Saccharomyces cerevisiae S288C: one gene and its partners. Changing the gene in region 3 together with the main gene of any one other region gives a genetic interaction. Each region holds a gene or a part of one and is shown on either strand. Other genes may lie near its edges.

What was found.
Region 1: mutations in CHA1 (region 3) and PST2 together harm fitness more than expected from each alone (negative genetic interaction), as found in Saccharomyces cerevisiae (2 studies listed by BioGRID).
Region 2: mutations in CHA1 (region 3) and FTR1 together harm fitness more than expected from each alone (negative genetic interaction), as found in Saccharomyces cerevisiae (one large-scale study listed by BioGRID).

The regions. Positions count from the first base shown.
Region 1 is NC_001136.10:503,560-506,490, reverse strand, and holds PST2 (flavodoxin-like fold family protein), read left to right. Parts: upstream 1-1,795; coding exon 1,796-2,392; downstream 2,393-2,931. Other genes in the region: MIX14 (Mix14p), read right to left, coding at 2,628-2,931.
Region 2 is NC_001137.3:459,987-463,537, forward strand, and holds FTR1 (high-affinity iron permease FTR1), read right to left. Parts: upstream 1,755-3,551; coding exon 540-1,754; downstream 1-539. Other genes in the region: putative ubiquitin-specific protease UBP5, read right to left, coding at 1-237; YER145C-A (uncharacterized protein), read right to left, coding at 2,400-2,837; RNA-binding protein LSM5, read left to right, coding at 2,599-2,880; cohesin-loading factor complex subunit SCC4, read right to left, coding at 2,982-3,551. UniProt on the Saccharomyces cerevisiae protein: Permease for high affinity iron uptake.
Region 3 is NC_001135.5:15,259-18,818, reverse strand, and holds CHA1 (L-serine/L-threonine ammonia-lyase CHA1), read left to right. Parts: upstream 1-1,938; coding exon 1,939-3,021; downstream 3,022-3,560. Other genes in the region: chromatin-modulating protein MRC1, read left to right, coding at 1-3; VAC17 (Vac17p), read right to left, coding at 258-1,529.

The DNA of each region.
Region 1 (2,931 bases), on a different chromosome or scaffold from region 3:
CCACTCTTTTTAAAGTACTCTACTTATATAAAAAAAAAAGATAGGGATTTACAATGTTAATTATTACACGCAGCATCTAGCGTATGATTGTATGTCCCGAATGCCCCGTTATTACCCAATAAAGCAAATTAATACGGTCTTTTTATAAAGCTGTGCTTCTTTTTCGGGGTAGTTTTTCCGTGAAACCCGTAGATGGGAACAAGAAGAGCAAAAAACCCTTTTTTTTAAATAATCCGAGAGTTTGACAACTTGTAAAAAAAAGCGCAAATGTCGGCGCGCCAAGTTGAAAAGTCGCTCAGAGAAATGAGAGGTAATACCGCGTTCCCAAAACAAATAAACAAACAGAGCAGCCAATCTGCGTGGAAAGTAAACCAAAAAAGCAGAATCACTTGAATCAGGCGGTTTTCTTCGCTTACTCTATACGGAGCCTAAATGCAAAAAAATAGATATTTTGTACTATTCTAAATCGGAGGCCTTCTCTGTGTTCTCAATTTTTTGTAAAGGCATTGAAATATGAAAACAAAATTAGGTGTATGAGCATGAGCACATCGAAGTAATTTAGATTTCTTTATTAATTATGCATGTAGTACACATTACCGCTAACCTTACATCTGCATAAGATCTTGCATCTTCAATAAAAACTCTTTCGCCTTGACTGGAGCATTCAAAATTAAGCGCCTTTTGCTCGCTTCGCAGATTTCTACAATTGAGATAGCATTGCTGTGAGCGCCCTTGCGTGAATCTATATCGTGAAAGAGAAGATATTATGACAAAAAATTGAATGATTTTGCGGGGCCATACCAAAATCCTTTCATGAAACAAGAGTTATTCTTTTAAAAGAAAGCGAACTATGCTATTTATCTTTACGTGTTACATCCAAAATCATTGCCGTAATTTTGTAGGAAGCGCAAAGTGTGTGATTAAAGCATTTGCTATTCTTTTAATTTCCCTTTCCTCTTTTGTTTTGTTTTTTTATATTTTTGCCTATATTCTTCTTTTTCTTTTTCTGTCTTGGGACGAAAGACAACAAAAAAAACCACCAGTAGCAAGAAATAAAAGAAGAGCCACTTAAATCGAGATAATATCTAAATACAACTTTTTATCATGGCAAGAAGAAGGAATATTTCTTGCAAAAACGTGAAAAGGAGTATACTACATAATCGTTGGACTGTCATACTCCGGATGTAGTTTTTACTATTTTGATTATCAGTAATATATCTCCTTTTAAATGATAATTATATATATATATATATATATGTACTACTAATAATGACAGTGTGACCTGGGTGGTTCGAAACATCTAGCGTAACTTAATAGTTATTGGCTGCCACCTCTTTGGCCTTGGAAACAGAGGGACTCATGCGTTTTGATGAGTGTCCAACTTATTAAGGTGCGTGCGCCTGGCTTGTTTCCCTGGATAACATTATGGACTTAAATCGTTTTACTTGTGGCTTTTGCGACGCTGACTGATTCATTATTAATTTTTCCTATTGCCGCTCATTGCGATCGCTTACCCGTCTCTTGACTGTCTTAGTAAAAAATTAATAATTCTGCGGGGCTGCACCTGCGCAGTGTATTGGCAAGCCTTGGCTTCGTTAGCAACCCCTTTCCCACAATTGAGTACAGTTACTCTCTGGACAACAATAAAATATATATAAACGTCAACGAGCGGCAAAACGATCAATGCATTTGGCCTTATTCTTTTTACTGTTTTTCTCATATAATTAAATATCGTCGAATAATATATTCAATAAATCATCACCACTCTCTAGTTAAAAGAATCCAATTATATACAATGCCAAGAGTAGCTATCATCATTTACACACTATATGGTCACGTTGCTGCCACCGCAGAGGCAGAAAAGAAGGGAATTGAAGCCGCTGGAGGCTCTGCAGACATTTATCAAGTCGAGGAAACGTTGTCTCCAGAAGTTGTTAAGGCGCTTGGCGGTGCTCCAAAGCCAGATTACCCAATTGCCACTCAAGATACGTTGACAGAATATGATGCCTTTTTGTTTGGTATTCCAACTAGATTTGGTAACTTCCCTGCTCAATGGAAGGCTTTCTGGGACCGTACCGGTGGGTTGTGGGCTAAGGGTGCTTTGCATGGTAAGGTCGCTGGTTGTTTCGTCTCCACCGGAACTGGTGGTGGTAATGAAGCCACAATTATGAACTCTTTGTCTACTTTGGCTCATCACGGTATCATTTTTGTCCCATTGGGTTACAAGAATGTTTTCGCTGAATTGACCAATATGGATGAAGTTCACGGTGGTTCACCATGGGGTGCGGGTACCATTGCAGGCAGTGACGGTTCAAGATCTCCTTCCGCCTTGGAATTACAAGTACACGAAATTCAAGGCAAGACTTTCTACGAAACCGTTGCAAAGTTTTGAAATAATTTGAAGTATTACTTCTCCTACCTATGGAAATGAATGATCCTTTACCGAAAATTATTCTGTGATGAAAAAAGGACTGCCCGTCAGGTATACCTAAGTATCTTTAGAAAATATATATACTTTAAATACAGTAATTTCTTCGGACATTTTAGTTAAAAAATATTCACAGGAATATATAATGTCTTTATGCAACGATAAAAATGGCGGAAATAAACAAAGGAAGCCTATTAATTCAGTCCTTGATTAATTCCAAGTTTACTCCATTAATTGAAGGCTTAATATTTTTATTTTTAACCTGCAATTCCGCACATTTCCTTAAGTCCTGTAAGAATCCTAGACAGTTTTCGTTAATAGTTCTTGTACCCATATTATCACGAATGCATTGGTCATATTTCTTCATTGGCTCACTACATTCGCTCATGATACTTTTCACACTGGGCACTTTTTCTCTAATGCATGTAGATAATATCATTCTTCCATCTTTACACTTCCCAGGATTTTCCTCATTATCTCTTATGCATTTATGATATTGCAGA
Region 2 (3,551 bases), on a different chromosome or scaffold from region 3:
ATTCAATCGGAGAAACCCCTTTGACAACCGGTTTGCATCTTCTTTAGGGGCCTGCATGGTTATATCCTGGCATGCGTCCACATAACTAGACCATATTTCTGCGCATTCTTGGAGCAAAGGCAGACACTCTTGTGGCACGTCGTCATCATCAAGAAACTTCTGAACTAAATGCCTAAGCCTGCCGAACCGCTCTTTAGCAGATTCGACAACCTCACTTAAGGCTTGTTCTGAGCCCATTACGCTTGTGCCTATTTGTGTAGAGAGATAATAAAGAAAGGACTCCACATACGTTGGAGAATACCTAGCAACTAAATATAGCTGGTGTTTACTTGATGTGTTGAAGTGAGGCGCAAGGAAAAAAGAAAAAAAATCAATGCCCGGTAGATCAATTGGACCAGGGGTTCTTGTTTTGCGACGCCGTACAGACAAGGCCAACTTTATAAAAACGATATTAGAAATTATTGTATATATGTATATAAATGTAGTATTTTTATCAACAGAAAATAGGTGGAAAACTCCCACCCTGTGCTAGACTTCATTCAAAGAGAGTCGGCTTTAACGTGGAGGACTTCCTTGTCTGTGGCGACGTTTTGAGACGAGGAATGACTGGTAGTTTGCTCGGGAAGTTCGTAGTTCTCTTGCACATTGATCTCACCATCTTCATTGAAGTTGATGTTCTCCATCTTGGCAAACAGTTGTCTCTTTTGCTCTTCCGTCAACTCCTGCTTTTTCTTGTTCTTGATCCAGTATCCTGGGTTCAAGTGTTTCAATTGTAAGTTTTTGGTGAAAGGCAAGTGACCACGCCTTTCTTCGAATATCATTAAACTCAACACAATGATAAGAACCAACCAATAGATGTTGTAACAAAGCATGGATGACAAGTAGCCGGTGTTCTGCCATCCAAGCAAAGCATTGAAGATATCCCACCCATTGTCCAGTTCTGGGTTGCAACAATTGACATGGTAAACGGCCTTTCTGATGTTATAAGACCCATTACCATCACCGCCTTCGGAAGCATCACCACCACTGGCAAGGTTGAATCTGTAATTTTCAAAGTACCACGCACCACGAGAGAAAAGACCGGCGGAGATCAGGTACAAGATCGAAGTAGACAAAATCAAGAAAATCTGCAGCGAGGATTTCGAAGCACCATAGTACAACAAATACCCAACAAGACCACCACATATCAAACCAACCACAACGGGCAATGGGTAAGCAGAGGCGTGCGAGCCCTGTGTGGTAATACCTGCACCGGCAACGAACACAACAGCTTCCAAACCTTCTCTCAAGACAGTAATAAACGGCAAAAGGAACATAGCATATCTTCTACTCAAGAACCCAATCTTGAAATAGTCTCTCTTACGGTGAGGAATCTCCACCAACGACCGCGCAATCTTCACTCTCCACTTACTCTGCATCTTATTCATTCTCAACATAGGAATACCCATCATCGAGATCATTATCGTCGCAATCATACAAAAGATACCTTCCCACAAGTCTTCCGCGCTTCCGAAAATATCCTTCTGCAGCGAATAGTACGCACCGATGAAACCTGCACCGATGGCCAGACAAATGATGAACCCGAGTAACACACCGACCCAAACCTGAATCCTTAATTTACGGTACAGCGCCCGGTCATGTTCCCCGATTGCCTGTTTCAAAAACGATAGCAGCACGGAAATAACAATCACTGCTTCCAAGCACTCTCTGAACACAACGAAGAAAACGGCCACGTTAAACACTTTGTTAGGCATGGCGGGAAGTATATGTGTGATGACCTGCTGAGAGAAGATTTCGACAACGTACAATCCGTCGTGTTATGTATTTTTTTGCTCACATTGAGCATTTTATATAACTAAAAGCTCAAGGTCGAACTACAGCCCATCGCTTCCACCGGGCCTTGCAACACCAACTTAGAAATCGGGTGCATTCATCTACGCTGTGCAGAGAATGAAATGCGCACCTTCTTACTGCTGCGACGGTGCTCGGCACGGCTTACGCGGGCGGGGGAAGGAAATAGCGGCCTGGCGTGAGTCGGCAGTCAGCGGCGGGCTCACTGTACTCGCTCGTTTAATGCACCAGCAGTATTCGCGCACTTAATAATAGTATTTCTGCACCCTGGCCTGGAAAGAATGCTCGATGCGCCCTGGTTGATTGGCGCAGAGCGTGTGTCAGTGCCGGACCCGATTTCTTTTTTTCTACACGTTGGTCTGATGTCTCAGGAGTTAGTAGTGACCGTGGTCAAGAAAAAAACAGGACGAAAAATTGTTGAGAACGTATACGTATATTGTATTCTTCTTTTTTTTCTTTGCTGCCCTTTTATTATCTATTTCATTTTTTAACCAGAGGCAATCGTAAGAGAGAGATAATATAGCCCTTTTTGGTCTTTTTTGGCACCTTCAGCCGGACCCTGCTCTTTTATTACCCGGATGCTCGGGTTTTGTCTTTGCATCCGGGTAGCAAAACAGAATACTTGCTTTCTTATTGAAGTAGAAAAAATACAGAGAAAGCGAAAAAGGCTTCCTTGGCGGATAGATGGTCTCACAACAAGCATAGCGTATACACGTGCACTCACAAGCATACACAGAAGCGCGCAAAATGAGTCTACCGGAGATTTTGCCTTTGGAAGTCATAGATAAAACAATTAACCAGAAAGTGTTGATTGTGCTGCAGTCGAACCGCGAGTTCGAGGGCACGTTAGTTGGTTTCGACGACTTCGTCAACGTTATACTGGAAGACGCTGTCGAGTGGCTTATCGATCCTGAGGACGAGAGCAGAAATGAGAAAGTTATGCAGCACCATGGCAGAATGCTTTTAAGCGGCAACAATATTGCCATCCTTGTGCCAGGCGGCAAAAAGACCCCTACGGAGGCGTTGTAAAAAGGCAAAAATTAACGCGAATTTGTATAGTGCATCTAAAAAAAATAATTAAGTATAAAAATAGATAAAGGAAATCAAGTGTTTCTTTTTTTTTTTTTGGTTTATTGTTTGACACTGGTGATTTGCTTAACCAGCGCCTCCAGCTTCGCGTTCGTGAGAGCGACGTCTTTTCCCCGCATCGCCACCGTACAATTCATTAAATGCCATATTCCGATCACGTATTGGACCTTGCGCATGCCGCCCTGCTGGCGGCACATATCGAAACACTTTGCTGAAATCGCATAGATCTCGCCCAGATCGTGTTCGAGCATTCGACCGCCTAAGTAGTTTACCAGTATTTGCAGCAACAGAGCCTTCTTCAATTTGAAGCGGTTGTCCGCAACGGCTTCTCCGGCAACGAACTTGTTGCTAGAGTAGAACTCGCGGAGCTTCGACACGTACTCGGCGCGCTGCTTGTCACTACATGGCAGCGGGTTCCAACTGAACGGCTCGAAATGGCTGAAAAGCCATAGGATCGTTACTGTGCACTCCCATATGGGGTTGAACTGCAGATCCGTTTCTTGTAGCAATTTCTCCACCTGAAGCCACACCTTGTTGCATTGCTCTACGAGTTCGCCCTGTTTGTCCCCCGAACATCGGCTCACTCTTGCCGCCTGCACTGTGTAGCAATT
Region 3 (3,560 bases):
TAGTGGTTTTTTATCTTTTCCGAAGAAGTTGATTGAACTCCAGAAGCTGTCTTGAAGTAGTCGCATTAAAAAAGATGGCACCCGAGTCTAGGCCAAGCCATAGTCATGTTATGATAGGATTTTATAAGACAAATATTATAAAGAAGTTTAATAATAATACAAAAAGATACAAAAAAACTTGAAGATATTCTGAATAAAAAAAAAAAGAATAAACATTTGGAGCAAAAGAAGAGTAGGTTAGGTAAAGGAGGCATTAATTAAAACAGCAGTTCTGTATTCAAAGCATCTTGCAATTCTTCTATAGAGACGCTTATATCCATATTATTTTTTTGTTCCTGTGCTACATTATGATTTGATATTCGTTCTTCATTCATGCCCTTATTCTTTCTCCCCCTCTTACTTTGAAAAGATTCTGATATTGTGCTTAACGATGAATTAAACTTATCCATAAAAGATGCATGCTTAAGATTTGTGTTGTTCTCTTTTACCGTATGTGTATCTGATCGTGCAATGAATGATGATAACAACGCCTTAGAACTTGAAATACGAGGACCATTACGACTAGGAGCCATTGTCGCTGCAACAGTTGGATGACAGTTCACTTGGACATTTGATATCGAAGTTCCAAACGTCGGATTAGATGGCCTGAAGAATGAGGCGGAGAAACTTCCCAGATTGAGCGACTTAGAAGGTGCTGGTTTGTTAGATAGTATACTTTCGTGAGAGTTATATCTCCTTAAAGGTTCGAATTCAGCACCCTTTGCGGTCACACCAACATGTGGAGGGGTACTTATGTTTGGTAGAATGATAGTATCTTGATCAGAATCAAAATCTTCATCATCCATTTCATCAAAGAAGGTCAACGAAAGTCTTTGTCTATTTTTGAAGAAAGACTCATACGTATCCGAGGAAGACGGTTTCTTACTTTTGTTCAAGCCAGTATCATGTGATTTGGCTGCACGTAAAGTGCGATTTCTTGCAGGTTGTTTTTTAGGTGAGCACGGTAAAGAGTTAGTTTTCGAAGGACAATCGACTTCATTGATGGGGTTAAAGCCTACCGATTTTTTTGGTGGTTTCGATGGAGTTACCATACACAGACGTTGCCTCTCAATTATTTTCAATGGTCGAGGTTGAAATGACCCTAAACTACTTCTGGTGGATTGCGATTGTGGAGAATCATTAGGCGCTTCATTTGGGACGGTGGCCAGCTCGTTCAACCTCAAAGTGATATCCTGGAATTCACGAACCAAGTCTTCTATGCGTTGATGCTCATTATCCTCTGTGATCAATCTGCGTTGTTGTTCCTTGCTCAACTTGTCTCGAACAGATTCCGATCTAACATACAAAGAGTTCAGTTGAGACATATACTGGTTGTACTGTTGGGATAACTTATCCAATGACTCTTGATCTGTTGTCTGGCATATTGATGATCTCTGCTGACGTTGTATCCACAGATCTAATTGCAAGATAGCCTCTTGCGACCTTATTAAAAGCCTCTCCGTGATATCCTCTAGGGCTTGGGTTGCCATTAATCGATGTGTCCTTGTTTCCTTATGCGAGCTGTTTCTTATCTATCTTATGGTCCCATTCTTTACTGCACTGTTTACATTTTGATCAATTGCGAAATGTTCCTACTATTTTTCTTTTTCTCTTTTCGCGAGTACTAATCACCGCGAACGGAAACTAATGAGTCCTCTGCGCGGAGACATGATTCCGCATGGGCGGCTCCTGTTAAGCCCCAGCGGAAATGTAATTCCACTGAGTGTCATTAAATAGTGCCAAAGCTTTATCAAATTGTTTGCGATGAGATAAGATAAAAGGGACAATATGAGGAGGAACACAGGTATATAAATATCGCCAAATAAAAGGAAAATGTTTATACAGTTTTCTCTTTTTTAAGTGCTGGATAGACAAGAGACAGGAAAATTAACCAGCGAGATGTCGATAGTCTACAATAAAACACCATTATTACGTCAATTCTTCCCCGGAAAGGCTTCTGCACAATTTTTCTTGAAATATGAATGCCTTCAACCAAGTGGCTCCTTCAAAAGTAGAGGAATCGGTAATCTCATCATGAAAAGTGCCATTCGAATTCAAAAGGACGGTAAAAGATCTCCTCAGGTTTTCGCTAGTTCTGGCGGTAATGCCGGTTTTGCTGCTGCAACAGCATGTCAAAGACTGTCTCTACCATGTACAGTCGTGGTTCCTACAGCGACAAAGAAGAGAATGGTAGATAAAATCAGGAACACCGGTGCCCAGGTTATCGTGAGTGGTGCCTACTGGAAAGAAGCAGATACTTTTTTAAAAACAAATGTCATGAATAAAATAGACTCTCAGGTCATTGAGCCCATTTATGTTCATCCCTTCGATAATCCGGATATTTGGGAAGGACATTCATCTATGATAGATGAAATAGTACAAGATTTGAAATCGCAACATATTTCCGTGAATAAGGTTAAAGGCATAGTATGCAGCGTTGGTGGAGGTGGTTTATACAATGGTATTATTCAAGGTTTGGAAAGGTATGGTTTAGCTGATAGGATCCCTATTGTGGGGGTGGAAACGAATGGATGTCATGTTTTCAATACTTCTTTGAAAATAGGCCAACCAGTTCAATTCAAGAAGATAACAAGTATTGCTACTTCTCTAGGAACGGCCGTGATCTCTAATCAAACTTTCGAATACGCTCGCAAATACAACACCAGATCCGTTGTAATAGAGGACAAAGATGTTATTGAAACCTGTCTTAAATATACACATCAATTCAATATGGTGATTGAACCGGCATGTGGCGCCGCATTGCATTTGGGTTACAACACTAAGATCCTAGAAAATGCACTGGGCTCAAAATTAGCTGCGGATGACATTGTGATAATTATTGCTTGTGGCGGCTCCTCTAATACTATAAAGGACTTGGAAGAAGCGTTGGATAGCATGAGAAAAAAAGACACTCCTGTAATAGAAGTCGCTGACAATTTCATATTTCCAGAAAAAAATATTGTGAATTTAAAAAGTGCTTGAAAATCCAATAACTTTTTCGTTGAAGCATCAATTTGCCCTTGATAATTTTCATACATGTACTACATACATTTTACTCATATATCACTATTTTGCTAGTATTGATTTTTTCCAGAAGTATTAGTGTAAGATTTCTCGAAGTAAGCATCAACATATCCAAAACGTTGACATATTTCTAGGCCGGCAATGCACAGAATTTGTATAAAGGGGGACATGCTGCAGAAATTTGCTCAAAATTATCCATGAAAGAAGTACCAATGAAGCACTAGCCTGTTCAAATTCACTTGATACTCGAGCATAAAGCATAAACTACTGCTTTTTAACTTATAATTTCTACCTCTAACACTCAGTGCAGTCTGTAATAAAACACACCAGATATCGTTCTATTAGTAATATAATTATGCTTCTCACGTCAAATTTACTAGCTCGAGAGTTAGTTAATCCTTACTAAGTGAAGAAAAGCAACTATAGTCATAGCAAACATAACATAACATAACATAAAATATAGGTTGTACTTTGTCAATAGAAATACAATCCTATGT